Linked DNA regions of Macaca mulatta. The protein of the gene in region 3 interacts with the protein of the main gene of each other region in a pairwise test. Links are inferred from orthologs where the notes say so. Each region holds a gene or a part of one and is shown on either strand. Other genes may lie near its edges.

Evidence for each region.
Region 1: the proteins of GOLGA2 (region 3) and NME7 interact in binary tests that used the Homo sapiens proteins (3 or more experiments, as listed by UniProt). The two-hybrid records come from large-scale screens. The link is inferred for Macaca mulatta from reciprocal best matches to the Homo sapiens genes GOLGA2 and NME7.
Region 2: the proteins of GOLGA2 (region 3) and WASHC3 interact in binary tests that used the Homo sapiens proteins (3 or more experiments, as listed by UniProt). The two-hybrid records come from large-scale screens. The link is inferred for Macaca mulatta from reciprocal best matches to the Homo sapiens genes GOLGA2 and WASHC3.

What each region holds. Positions count from the first base shown.
Region 1 is NC_133406.1:26,870,577-26,874,226, reverse strand, and holds the start of NME7 (nucleoside diphosphate kinase homolog 7), read left to right. Parts: upstream 1-818; 5' UTR 819-905; coding exon 906-908; intron 909-1,084; exon of another isoform or gene 1,085-1,142; intron 1,143-3,650. UniProt on the Homo sapiens protein: Possesses an intrinsic kinase activity. Displays 3'-5' exonuclease activity with a preference for single-stranded DNA. Does not seem to have nucleoside diphosphate kinase activity.
Region 2 is NC_133416.1:109,366,388-109,370,134, reverse strand, and holds the start of WASHC3 (WASH complex subunit 3), read left to right. Parts: upstream 1-943; 5' UTR 944-963; coding exon of another isoform or gene 964-1,014; 5' UTR 1,015-1,055; coding exon 1,056-1,199; intron 1,200-1,565; coding exon 1,566-1,664; intron 1,665-3,747. UniProt on the Homo sapiens protein: Acts as a component of the WASH core complex that functions as a nucleation-promoting factor (NPF) at the surface of endosomes, where it recruits and activates the Arp2/3 complex to induce actin polymerization, playing a key role in the fission of tubules that serve as transport intermediates during endosome sorting.
Region 3 is NC_133420.1:19,428,829-19,432,575, reverse strand, and holds the end of GOLGA2 (golgin subfamily A member 2), read right to left. Parts: intron 3,591-3,747; coding exon 3,345-3,590; intron 3,261-3,344; coding exon 3,185-3,260; intron 2,761-3,184; coding exon 2,589-2,760; intron 2,423-2,588; coding exon 2,182-2,422; intron 2,095-2,181; coding exon 1,992-2,094; intron 1,910-1,991; coding exon 1,803-1,909; intron 1,726-1,802; coding exon 1,569-1,725; intron 1,482-1,568; coding exon 1,267-1,481; 3' UTR 35-1,266; downstream 1-34. UniProt on the Homo sapiens protein: Peripheral membrane component of the cis-Golgi stack that acts as a membrane skeleton that maintains the structure of the Golgi apparatus, and as a vesicle thether that facilitates vesicle fusion to the Golgi membrane.

The DNA of each region.
Region 1 (3,650 bases), on a different chromosome or scaffold from region 3:
CCGAGTGCGTGCTGGCAAATGCCAAATGAAGGTGAGGGGGTGAAGAAGTAAGTAGGGGGAGTGAGCAGGTATGAGAGCGATAGGCCGGGAAGCGACAAGTCTGTCAACCTTTGCTGTCCCGGGAAGTCGAAACCGAAGTTCCATTCCTGTCTGAAAAAGCCTTCCCGGAACAACAATCGTTCCCTAAATCCAAAGCTACTGGCCACCAAGCTCCAGCCAGACCTCCGTCCCTTTCCAACATCCTTAGTTATACCTGCTTGTCCTCGGATTTACCTGTAAGATTCTTATTCTCCGTATTTCAGGGGACTTCACTTCATAGGCTCTTCGGATCGGTATCACCAGGCTAACTTCTCACAGACCTCTTCCATTCAGAAGCCGGCCCGCCCAGGCCCTCCACATATCCAGGAGCTCTCTCACTCCTAACCACTTCCGATTACTCAGGGTTTCGCTTCCGGAATACGTTTCCAAAAGAGAAGGGTAAATACATTCTGCAGTGAGTTTAAACTCAAGTAACACAGAACACACACTGTAAGGCCTCCGTAAGTGGAAAGCGGACAGATGTCTACTTTAAAATAAAATACTGTACAGCAACTTTTGGAGCCCAAGCCTCAGATTCACTTAAACTTCCGGGCCAGCTGTTAAACAAACGGAAGTAAAACTGCCGGAAACAGAAAAACGGCGTCTCGTAGCCCCAGGCGACAGCGTGGAGGGGCGGGCCTGTCGATTGGATGAACGCAGCTGAGATTACTCCCAGCCACTAAGGACGAAGAGGTGGGGCGGTGGCGTCCCACGCACCGTGCGACAGTGGGCGGTGCTCTGTTGCCTGAGTAACCGGATGATGGTGTTGGTGGTGGTGTCTTCCTGTCTCAACGATACCTATTTTCTAGTGCTGAGATCCTGAGACAATGGTGAGTGCCAGGGGATGTCAGAATAACGGCTGTGGGTCCTAGCTACTTAGCGTTCCAAGTCTTCGGGCGGATGGGCACTTAAAGTTGTCCTGTCCTCCCGACCTTCTCCTCATTATCTCTTTCCCCCTTCCCATGGGCTGTTACTGCAGTTTACTCGCTCTCCGTATTTCTTACAGCACCCTGAATTCCACTGATGCTACTAAGTCTCTAGAGTAATGAAACAGAAAATTCAGGGTAAGGCATCGAGTCTAATCACCTGTTTTGAACAACATTATGTGTTTTCATTGTTCATCGTGGCATTTTTCATGCTCACAGATTCACATTAACGCGCTTTATTAAGAGTGTGGGGTGGTGTGTATGTGACTGTCTCAACACTAATCTGAATCTCCCTAGATCTTGGAGTCCTTTTGCTTTTCTGAGTGGCAGAGCACTGCCCCACGCCCCCACGAGGGCCATTAACAGATGTATGTTGGATCAGCTCTCGTCTGTCCAGTTGCTTACCTTCTAGGTCTGTGCTTGCTTTTCTTTTCTTTCTTCTTCTTCTTCTTTTTTTCTTTCTTTTTTTTTTTTTTAAACAGAAATTTCTCCTGGGATTGCTTGGAGAGCTTCTGCAATTCACTGTTTGGACTTCACCCCTGGAAATTCTGAATGAAAGGAATGGGGCTTGGTATTTGCATTTTAAATAAACCTGTAGGTGATTTTAATTCACCCACATGTTTGAGAGTACCAGGGTTCTAGTTAATTCACTTAACTATCGTGTCTTTTAAGCACTTATGGATAATGGACTGGAAGATAGAAAGATCTTTAGATAGTTATAGCTACGAATTTAGAAACAGAGCCCCCACCCATCACCCCTTGTTTCTTCATACTACTCAGCAATCCTTTTGGTTACCCCAGTTTTCCCCTGCCCCATTTTCTGTAAAGACATTTTCAAACCTTCCATTTATAAACCCTGTCTTTTGCCCTTCTCATTTCTCCTTTCTAAACATGATGGAGTATAACAATTCTTCAACCTCATGCCCCCAACCTACACACTGATCTATATTTTTGCCAAGCCTTTAGTCTTGTATTTCTAGTGTAGAGAAAGGGATATTAAAGGATAATCCATCCATCTTTGCTTTTGATCTCATTTGCTTCCATCTGTTACATTTCGCTTCCAGTTGTCTTTTTTCTTTCCTGTGCTTTCAGCCTCTTCCTCTTCAGTTCCTTCTACTCAGTGCTCAAGTCACACATCTTATGAAAATTAAATAAAGCAAAACCATGTCATCCATCCTGTGTTTATCCAGTTATTTCCCAGTCCTCCTATCTATCAGTAAACTTATTGAAAGGATATTATTTTTACTTATATCAAACAGACAAAAGTCTTTTGTCTGGCTTCTTTAATGCCTTCAAGAAAGTTGTTCTTGCTTAAGTTTCTAAAGGCCTTTTAAATGCCAAATACAGTAATTACTTCTCAAAATTTATATTGCTTAGTCTGTTTGTGACAACTGAGGTTCATAGTCATTAATTCCTTTTACTGGCTGTGCCTGGTTTTTGAATGTCATTCTTTGGAATTCACTCCTTAATTACTTTCATTTCTTAGTCTAGACATTTTCCTTGGGTGATTTTGTCCACTCACATGGATTCTATTAACACCTTTGATTTTGCTTCTAAATTTCAATTTTTCTCTCAGATCTACTAATGCCTAACTCAGTTGCTTCCCGGACACATCTGTCTCAAAGGTCCCTCAAACTTAATATGACCAAAACTGAACTTGCTATCTTTCCTCCTGGTTTCTCCTATTTTCACCAAGTTAAATACTGCTACTACTATATTGTAACCTAAACTAGAAATCAGAGTTATCCTACATTCCTCCCTTTCCTATTTCTCCCATATTCAGTTGGTCACTAGATCAAATTTTAGTTTGTCATCTCCTCATTTCTTGATTATTTTAATAGTGACTTTTACAGTCTGGTCTGGAAATTCTCCAATCCATTATTTTCTCTGCCACAAGAAGGAATTTTTAAAAACCCAGCCTGTTGATTTACTCACCTCCTTAAAACTCTAGAATCCCCATTTCCTACAGTAAAATGTCTAGAGTGGCACACAAATTCCTCCATGAACAAGCACTTCTCTGTCTAGCTTTTGCCTTTCCTTTTCCATACCTTTTTTTTTTTTTTTTTTTTTTTTTTTATAAAAAATTATCTTGCCTTTTAGCTACTTGCTTTTCATTGAACATACCAAGCAACTTCAAACTGGTAGTATGCCTCCTCTTTCTACTTTGCACTTGCAATTCCTTCTACACAGAATACCTGCACCCTCTTGTTGCTTGCCAAACTCTTATTTATTCTCCTGTTACAGGCCAACGTGTTCTTCTTGCCCGCTTCCCAGAAAGGCCAAACATCGAGAATGCAGGAGTTGCAGCAGAGAAAGAGTTTAATGGAGGCAAGGCAGCTGAGTGGCAGGATAGGAGATATTTCTAAAATCCACCTCTCTGACAGCTTGGAGGTTGTGGTTTTTAGGGATAATTTTGTGGGCAGGTGGGTAGGGAGTGGGTGCTGCTGATTGGTTGGGGATGAATTTATAGGTGTTTCCAAACTGTCTTCCTGTGCTGAGTCAGTTGTCTAGGTGAGAGTCATAGGACTAGTAGAGTCAGTTTCTTGGTATGAGTCATGTATCTGGGTGGCATCAGGAGGTTTGCCAGAATGCAGAAGCCTGAAAAATATATCAAGACCAATCTTAGGTTTTATAATAGTGATGTTA
Region 2 (3,747 bases), on a different chromosome or scaffold from region 3:
GGTAGCACTCTTACCTCATTTCCTACCATTCTCCATGTATGGGATTACTTGCTTCAACCAAACCAACAGGGCCAGGTGCCAGCGGCTCACACCTATAATCCCAGTGCTTAGGGAGGCCAAGGCATGAAGATCATTTGAGCCAAGGGGTTTGAGACTACGGTGAGCTATAATCCTCACCGCACACCAGACTGGGTGACACAGCAAGACCCCCATTTTAAAGCTGCCAACTTGGTCTTCATCTTTTCCATGCTCCCTGTAAATGGCAGTCACTTCCGTAGGTTTGTGCCTCACCTCTAGTAGTTGACGTTTTATTTCACGTTTTAAAAACCTTTGGAAGGCCAGGCGGGTTGGCTCACGACTGTAATCCCAGCACTCTGGGAGGCTGAGGCAGGAGAATCGCTTGAGGTCAGGAGTTCGAGACCAGCCTGGGAACTGGTGTGTATATACACACACACCCTTTGGAAGTAGGTCTTATTTCTCATTCTTCAGAGCATAAACCTCCCCAATGCAGCAATCAAACTCAATCTTTGTTTTCACAGTAAAAGCCTAGCAGAGTATATATGACACTTAGGATTAAAAAAAAAAAAAAATTGTTGCTCAAGGAATGACGGAGCCGTTATATAACAGACAGGACTAAGTAGGGGTAACCTCAAAGGGACGCAACTTCTGGCTTTGTTTTGTTTTGTTTGCCTCCTAAGATTTTACTGCTATAACTGCATCCTTGCACCATCGCGAAATTGACGTCACAATCTGGACTAAAACTACCAATCCCAGAATGCCGAGCGAGGAGGCGGGCTCTCCGGAAGTCGCCGAGTGATTAGTGAGCGGAGGCATTTTCTTCCGGCGGGAAGGGCCCCGGAGGCGGGGACTTGGGGGGAAAGTTGAGACGCGATTACCGGGTTGGTCGGGCCCCATCTGGGAGGGGTTTGTGGGTGAACTCGGGGTCTCCCGCCCGCAGAGGAGATGGATGAGGACGGGCTTCCTCTCATGGGGTCAGGCATAGACCTGACCAAGGTTTGTAAAAGACGATACTAAACTCCTCCACCGGGAGGAGGATGGGGAAGACGCAGCTTCCCGGGGAGACCACACCTTCCGGGTCCCCACTCTGTCACGGCCCCGGGCCCTTCTGCCGGCCTCAGGAGGGAGAGCTCCGCAGTCCACCTTCAAATGGGGTCCCTCTTGAACTGATTAAGGAGACGGTGTGCATCTCCCAACTTTCGCTTCCCATCTTTCGTGTCTCTGTGCCGCCGGCGATAGACGCCGGTTGTGATAGCTAGCCCTACCTCTTTTTCAGCCCCCAAGTTTTTGTGTGTGTTTATGTGTGTTGCTTCTGCCTGCCAAAATTCGTCCCAGTGAGTCTAGAGCCTGTTCTCAAACTTTTATGCACCTCTGTTGTCTTCGGACACCCCACCTACAGTTTAGGAAAACAAGTTAATGACTATTCCCAGTCCTTCAAGAAATTCGTATCACACAGCAAAGTGCCTCGTGATTATTTCCAAATATGAAAAGGTTTGCACTGTGTACGTTCCTCCTGTATGAACCATGTTTGTTTTTACGTAACACAGGTGCCAGCTATTCAACAGAAAAGAACGGTGGCTTTTCTAAACCAATTTGTGGTGCACACTGTACAGTTCCTCAACCGCTTTTCTACAGTTTGTGAGGAGGTAGGTCCTGTGATACTGGTTTATAGAGTCGCCTAGAAGTCACCTTGCACTGCTGAGATTGACAAATGGAGTAAAACAAGAATTACAGTCTTTATTCATGTATCATGACCTCTTGTCACCCAATTGTGTTAACACACCTTAAGTTCTCTTTTACTCTGTTACAATCAATCTTGCAACCCTCCTCTACTGAATTAGTGTTCTAGAGGTCCTTGTGAGATAGTTCAGTCAGGCTTACTGCGATTAAAGAGAACAATAGGAAATCTAAAATTTCTTTTTTTTCTTTTTTTTTTTTTAGACAGAGTCTAACTCTATCACCCAAGCTAGAGCGCAGTGGCGCGATCTCGGCTCACTGCAACCTCCGCCTCCCGGGTTCAAGCGATTCTCCTGTCTCAGCCTCCTGAGTGGCTGGGATTACAGGCATGCGCCACCATGTCTGGCTAATTTTTTGTGTTTAGTAGAGACGGGGGTTTCACCATGTTGGTCAGGCTGGTCTCGAACTCCTGACCTCAGGCGATCTACCAGCCTCAGCCTCCCAAAGTGCTGGGATTACAGGCCCGAGGCACCGTGCCCAACTTCTAAAATTAGTTGAAAATAGTTTTTATTTTGCTATTTGTTATTCGTTCTCGTACCCCAAAATAGTTTTTATTTTGCTATTTGTTATTCGTTCTCGTACCCCAAAACCACATTGTTTATATTAAATTTATTTTACATTCCGAATCTAAAAGATGGCTAGAGGAGATAGGCTGGAAACATAACTTTGGCATCAAATATGATTATAGAAATAAAAATATTTTCTGCAAATGACTTGTAAGGATTAAGTATCCAACTAGGGACCAGGTGCCAGAGCTGGCACAGTAGTGTGCACCTGTAATCCCAGCTACTCGGGAGGCAGAGACAGGAGGATCACTTGTGCCCAGGAGTTTGAGACGAGCCTGGACAACATAGAGAAACTCAGTGTTTTGTTTTTGTTTTAAAAAAGGGGATAGGTACAAGATCCAGGATCCAGGGACTCCCTGTCTTTTAAAAAGCCAAAAAAGAAGATGGGGAGGACAATGGGAACCATGGGCTGAAATTGCATTTAAGGAAAGAAAAGTAAATTATGGGGCTTAGATAATTCACAAGTAAGTCTGTTGAACATTCTGCCTTATGTAAGGTATAGCCTTAGCAATTAGAGTTTGTAGAGGATTTTTGCTTCTATGTTCATTGGAGATATTGACCTTTGGTTTTCTTTTCTTGTAGTGTATTTGTTTGGCTTTGGAATCAGGATAATGCTGGTCTCCTAAATTGAGTTTGAAAATTTTCCCTCCTCTTCAGTATTTTGGAAGAATTTGAGAAGGATTTGTATTAGTTCTTCTTTAAATGTTTGGTAGAATTCAGTAGTGAAGCCATCAGGTCCGGGGGGTTTTGTTTAGTGGGAGACTTAACTACTGATTTGATCTCTTATTATCGGTCTGTTCAGATTACCTATTTCTTTATGATTTAGTCTTGATAGGTTGTATGTGTCTAGGAACTTATCCATTCTAGGTTATCCAATCTGTTGGCATATAATTGGTCATAGCAGTCTCTTATGAGCCTTCATATTTCTTTTGTTTTAATTGTAAAGTCATGTTTATTTAAGTATGAGCTTATATTCACTAAAATTTACCGTTAAGTATGAGATTTGACAAATTCATAATCATAACATAATCAAGATGTAGAATAGTTGTAGAACAAGGTGTAGAATCACTCCAAAAATTACCTCATGTTCCTTTGCAGTCACCCCTTTTTTATCCCTAGGAATCTATTATTCTGTTTTCTGTCAAAAGGGTCAAATTTAATCACTACAGTGATCTCTGGTACTGTGGAAAAATTCCTGAGCACACAGAACACACAAACCAAATTTTTTAAAAATGAGATACTTACAAAATTTCTTTAGCATACCAACCAAATGAAGGTAGCTTCATATTTTAGTACAGATGCTCAGATATCTTAGGCAGAATTAAGTCCACCATTGCTGTATATATGCCTCAACAGTAATATTTAAGAGTAGACTGTAAAAATAAACTTATAATCTTTAGAATCATCAAAACAATGGGATTATTAA
Region 3 (3,747 bases):
AGTGAGAGAAACAGGAACACGCCAGGCGGAGCAGTATGGCTAAATCCATTTATTCCGAAATAAAAAGCAAAATAAACAGGAGTTGCATCACCAGGGTGCCACGACCCCATCCCCGCCTCCTTCCTCTGTCCTATGCTATCAATAAATAAGTTTCCCAGCCCCAAATAATTATTAGAACCTCCTCCCCATGTGCCAGCTCCAACCTCTGCTAGGTATGATACAGGGGGCTGCCCTACCCCTGGAATATACAAAATGTTACACAGATACAATATGTACACTGGGGAAGCGGGGCCACCCCAGCAGCCCGTGCCCTCACCTGGTCTACAGTTAACCCCACTGTCCTGCCTCAGCTGCCTCTCTGTGTAAGAAGATGGGAGCCCCCCTGAGGGAAAAATTGCTTTGGTGAGAGTAAGGAGGCCATCAGGCCTCCTCCAAACAAGTCAATTCTATGAGCCTCTGGCTATTAAATAACAATCATCATCATCCAGAAATTTAAGGAATCAGCCCTGGCCAAGGTGGCAAAGGCTCTACACATTTGTCTCCCCCCATTAGACAGGGGTCTTATTTGCTACTGTAAGAGTAAAGGGGTGACTGGGAAGGGGTGGCAGGGACATGATGGGGGCGGAGCCTCCGGCCCCACTTCTCCAGGCTTTGCTGACAGTGGCCTGCTTTTTAAAATTTTTATCCTGACTTTTTTTTTAATCCCGTGTTTTTTGTTTTTTTTTTTTGAGACAGAGTCTCACTCTGTCGCCCAGGCTGGAGCGCAATGGCGCCATCTCAGCTCACTGCAACCTCCGCCTGCCGGGTTCAAGTGACTCTCCTGCCTCAGCCTCCTGAGTAGCTGGGATTACAGGCACACGCCACCATGCCTGGCTAATTTTTGTATTTTTAGTAGAAACACGGTTTCACCATGTTGACCAGGCTGGTCCTGAACTCCTGACCTCCTGAACTCCCAAAGTGCTGGGATTACAGGTGTGAGCCACTACGCCCAGCCTTTTTTCATAACTTCTATACCATAACTTACCCATAACCTTCTTTATCCCATAACTTCTTTTAATCCCATAACTTTAATTTTTTTTTTAAGTTTAGTGGCCAGCTTTTAGATGACAGTGATCTTCACCTCATCTGCACCTGTCTACCCCCGTTAGACAGGGGTCTATGCTTGCTACTGGAAGGGTAAAGGGGTCACTGAGGGGGTGGTAGGGATATAGTGGGGGCAGGGTCTCCAGCCCCCCTTCTTCAGGCTTTGCTGACAGCGGCCGGCTTTTAGATGACAGTGATCTTCACCTCATCGTTCTCGTCAGCCCGGTAAAAAAAAGGAATGCAGGGGTTGCTGCCCAAGCCTGGGCGCTCCCGGGGGTTCTGCATCTCACGAAGCAGCTGCATGATCTGCTGTGCAGTGGGGTTGTCACGGGGAGAGCCCTCCCTGGCCTCTCCTTGGGCGGCCTCCGCGCTGCCGGTGAGGCTCACCTCGCAAAGATCTTTGGAGAGAGAGAGGCAGGGCTCTGAGCGCCACGCAAGCCCTCCCTTGCTCCTGCCTGCCCACCCCTCCCGAGGGCTCTACTCACCACCCTGCTGGTCGGCAGCCCCAAGCTCCTGGGGGGCTGGGGCCCCTGGAGCGGGCTCATGGGCAGGGTTCTGGGCAGCTGCCAGGAATCTGCCATGCCACTCGCTGCGGTCGCCCACAAGCCGTAAGACCAGCTCCTGCAACTCCAGCAGCTTCACCTGGAGGGAGGGGTGCTAAGCTGCCATGCCTGTGCCCGTGCCCACCTCCACCCCCACAGAGATGTTCCACGCCCTACCTTCATCTCCTCCTTGTCTTGGGCCAGCCTGCTGATATACTCCTCCTTCTCCCGGTGCCGCTCCTTCAGCACTGCCCTCTGACTCTGGTACAGTGCGATGTACTCTCCTGCGGAAGGACAGGGCTCAGATACTGGGTTCCCTCCGACCACTGTGCAGCTCCTCCTGCCGTGCCCTGGCCTCCCACTCACCAATGGTGTCTGTCTCTCCAGACAGCTGGATACAGCGATGTTCCAGTTCCTCTACCCTCTCCTTCAGGTCCGCCTTCTCCTGCATGAGCTCCATAAAGCGGCTCTGGAACCAAAACAATGGAGTCACATCTTGGCAGCGACCAGCCCCGCCCCCACCCTTCTTGACCCATGCCAGGAGAGACTCATTCACCTGCAGCTTCTCCATGGCCCCCTGCAGGGCCCGGTGGGTTTCCCCACACACAGAATCGCCCCCAGTCCCTGGGGCCGGGGCTGCCACCTCAGGCTCCTTCTGGGCCAAGGCCAGCAGGTGAGCCAGGCGCCGGCAGCGCACCCTTTGCTCCTTCAGCTGCCCACGTAGCCTTGCCTGCTCCTCCTCGGCACTGGCTACAGCTGAGTTGAAAAATGCCACCTGCAGGCAAGAGAGGTGCGTTCTTGTAGGAGGATATATAGGACGAACAGGCAGGGAGGTAGAGAGCAGCCCTTCCCTTGGGGCCTCAGAGGCTGCACTTGTTGGTCCCAGGTGAAATGGGCGTCTGACCACTGGCTCCCAGGAAAGCGGTGAGTCTGAATAAATCAGAAGGCCGGGAAACCAAGAGCAGAAGGGGGTCTGGGAGGGACCACAGAGGGAGACAGCAAAGGCCAGGGAGGGGAGTCAGCCTTACCATGGCTTCCCGGCTCTCCAGGTCCTCCGGGATGCTTGGCATGGGCCGAGGCGCCGCCTCCACCTCCTCCTCCTCTTCTTCCTCCTCCTCCCTGTCCAGTCCATCTCCTGTGGGGGTGGCCAGAGGGGTCATCAGACAACCCAACAAGGGTACAGTGTGCCCACCTCTGCCCCCACCCTCACTGTGTAACCCTGGGCCAGCCCCTCCCCAGAAGGGAATGAGCAGCTTTTTATTTTATTCTTTTTTAAGAGCCAAGAGCTCGCTATGCTGCCCAGGTGCAGTCCCACTACCGATCAGCATGGGAGTTCTGACCTGCTTCATTTCTGACCTGGGCCAGTTCACCCATCCTTAGGCAACCTGCTAGTCCCCTGCTCCCAGGAAGTCACCATAATGATGCCGAACTTAGTGTGGACACCCAGTTGGCATAATGACCAGCTGTTCTAAAGGTCTCTTCCAACTCAATTCCACACTGCTAACAGTCCCCCCTTCCTCCTGGGGCTCTCTCCTCTTCCTGTGAGCAGGTTCCCGTACCTTCCCCAGGATGAGCCATGAGGCTCAATTGGGACCGTAGCTGCTGGTTCTGCTGGGTGACAGATTCCAGGCGCTCCTAAGGGGCCAAGAAAGAGAGTGAGACGGCATGGAGGTTGCCAGGTCATCCCCCTCGGGGCCCTGCCCTCAGCAACTCCCTCACCTGGGCTTCCTGCAACTCTTGGCGGGCCATCTCGGCTACCGCTTTGCCCTGAGCTTCCTGCTGCTGCAGCTGGTCCACGAGCTGGGTCTGCAGCAGTAACTGGTTGTGCAGCACCTCCTTCTCAGAGGTTAGCTGCTGATAGGTGGCCACCTGCTGCTGATAGGCGGCCACATACTGCTGCAGGTGTCCCAGGTACTGGTCTCGCTGCTGCTGTAGACTCTGAGCCTCTTGGCTCTTCAGCTCCACCTGTAGGAAGACCCTAGGCGTGAGGGCAGGTGGTGGCCTGCTTTCAGATTTGGGGCCCATAAATAGGGTAGCGAGGGCTCTGTGAGGCTCTGTTGCCTGCCCAGACCTCTGGCCCCTTGCTCCAGGCCTAAGTGACTGCCTCCCTTGCCTAGAGCCT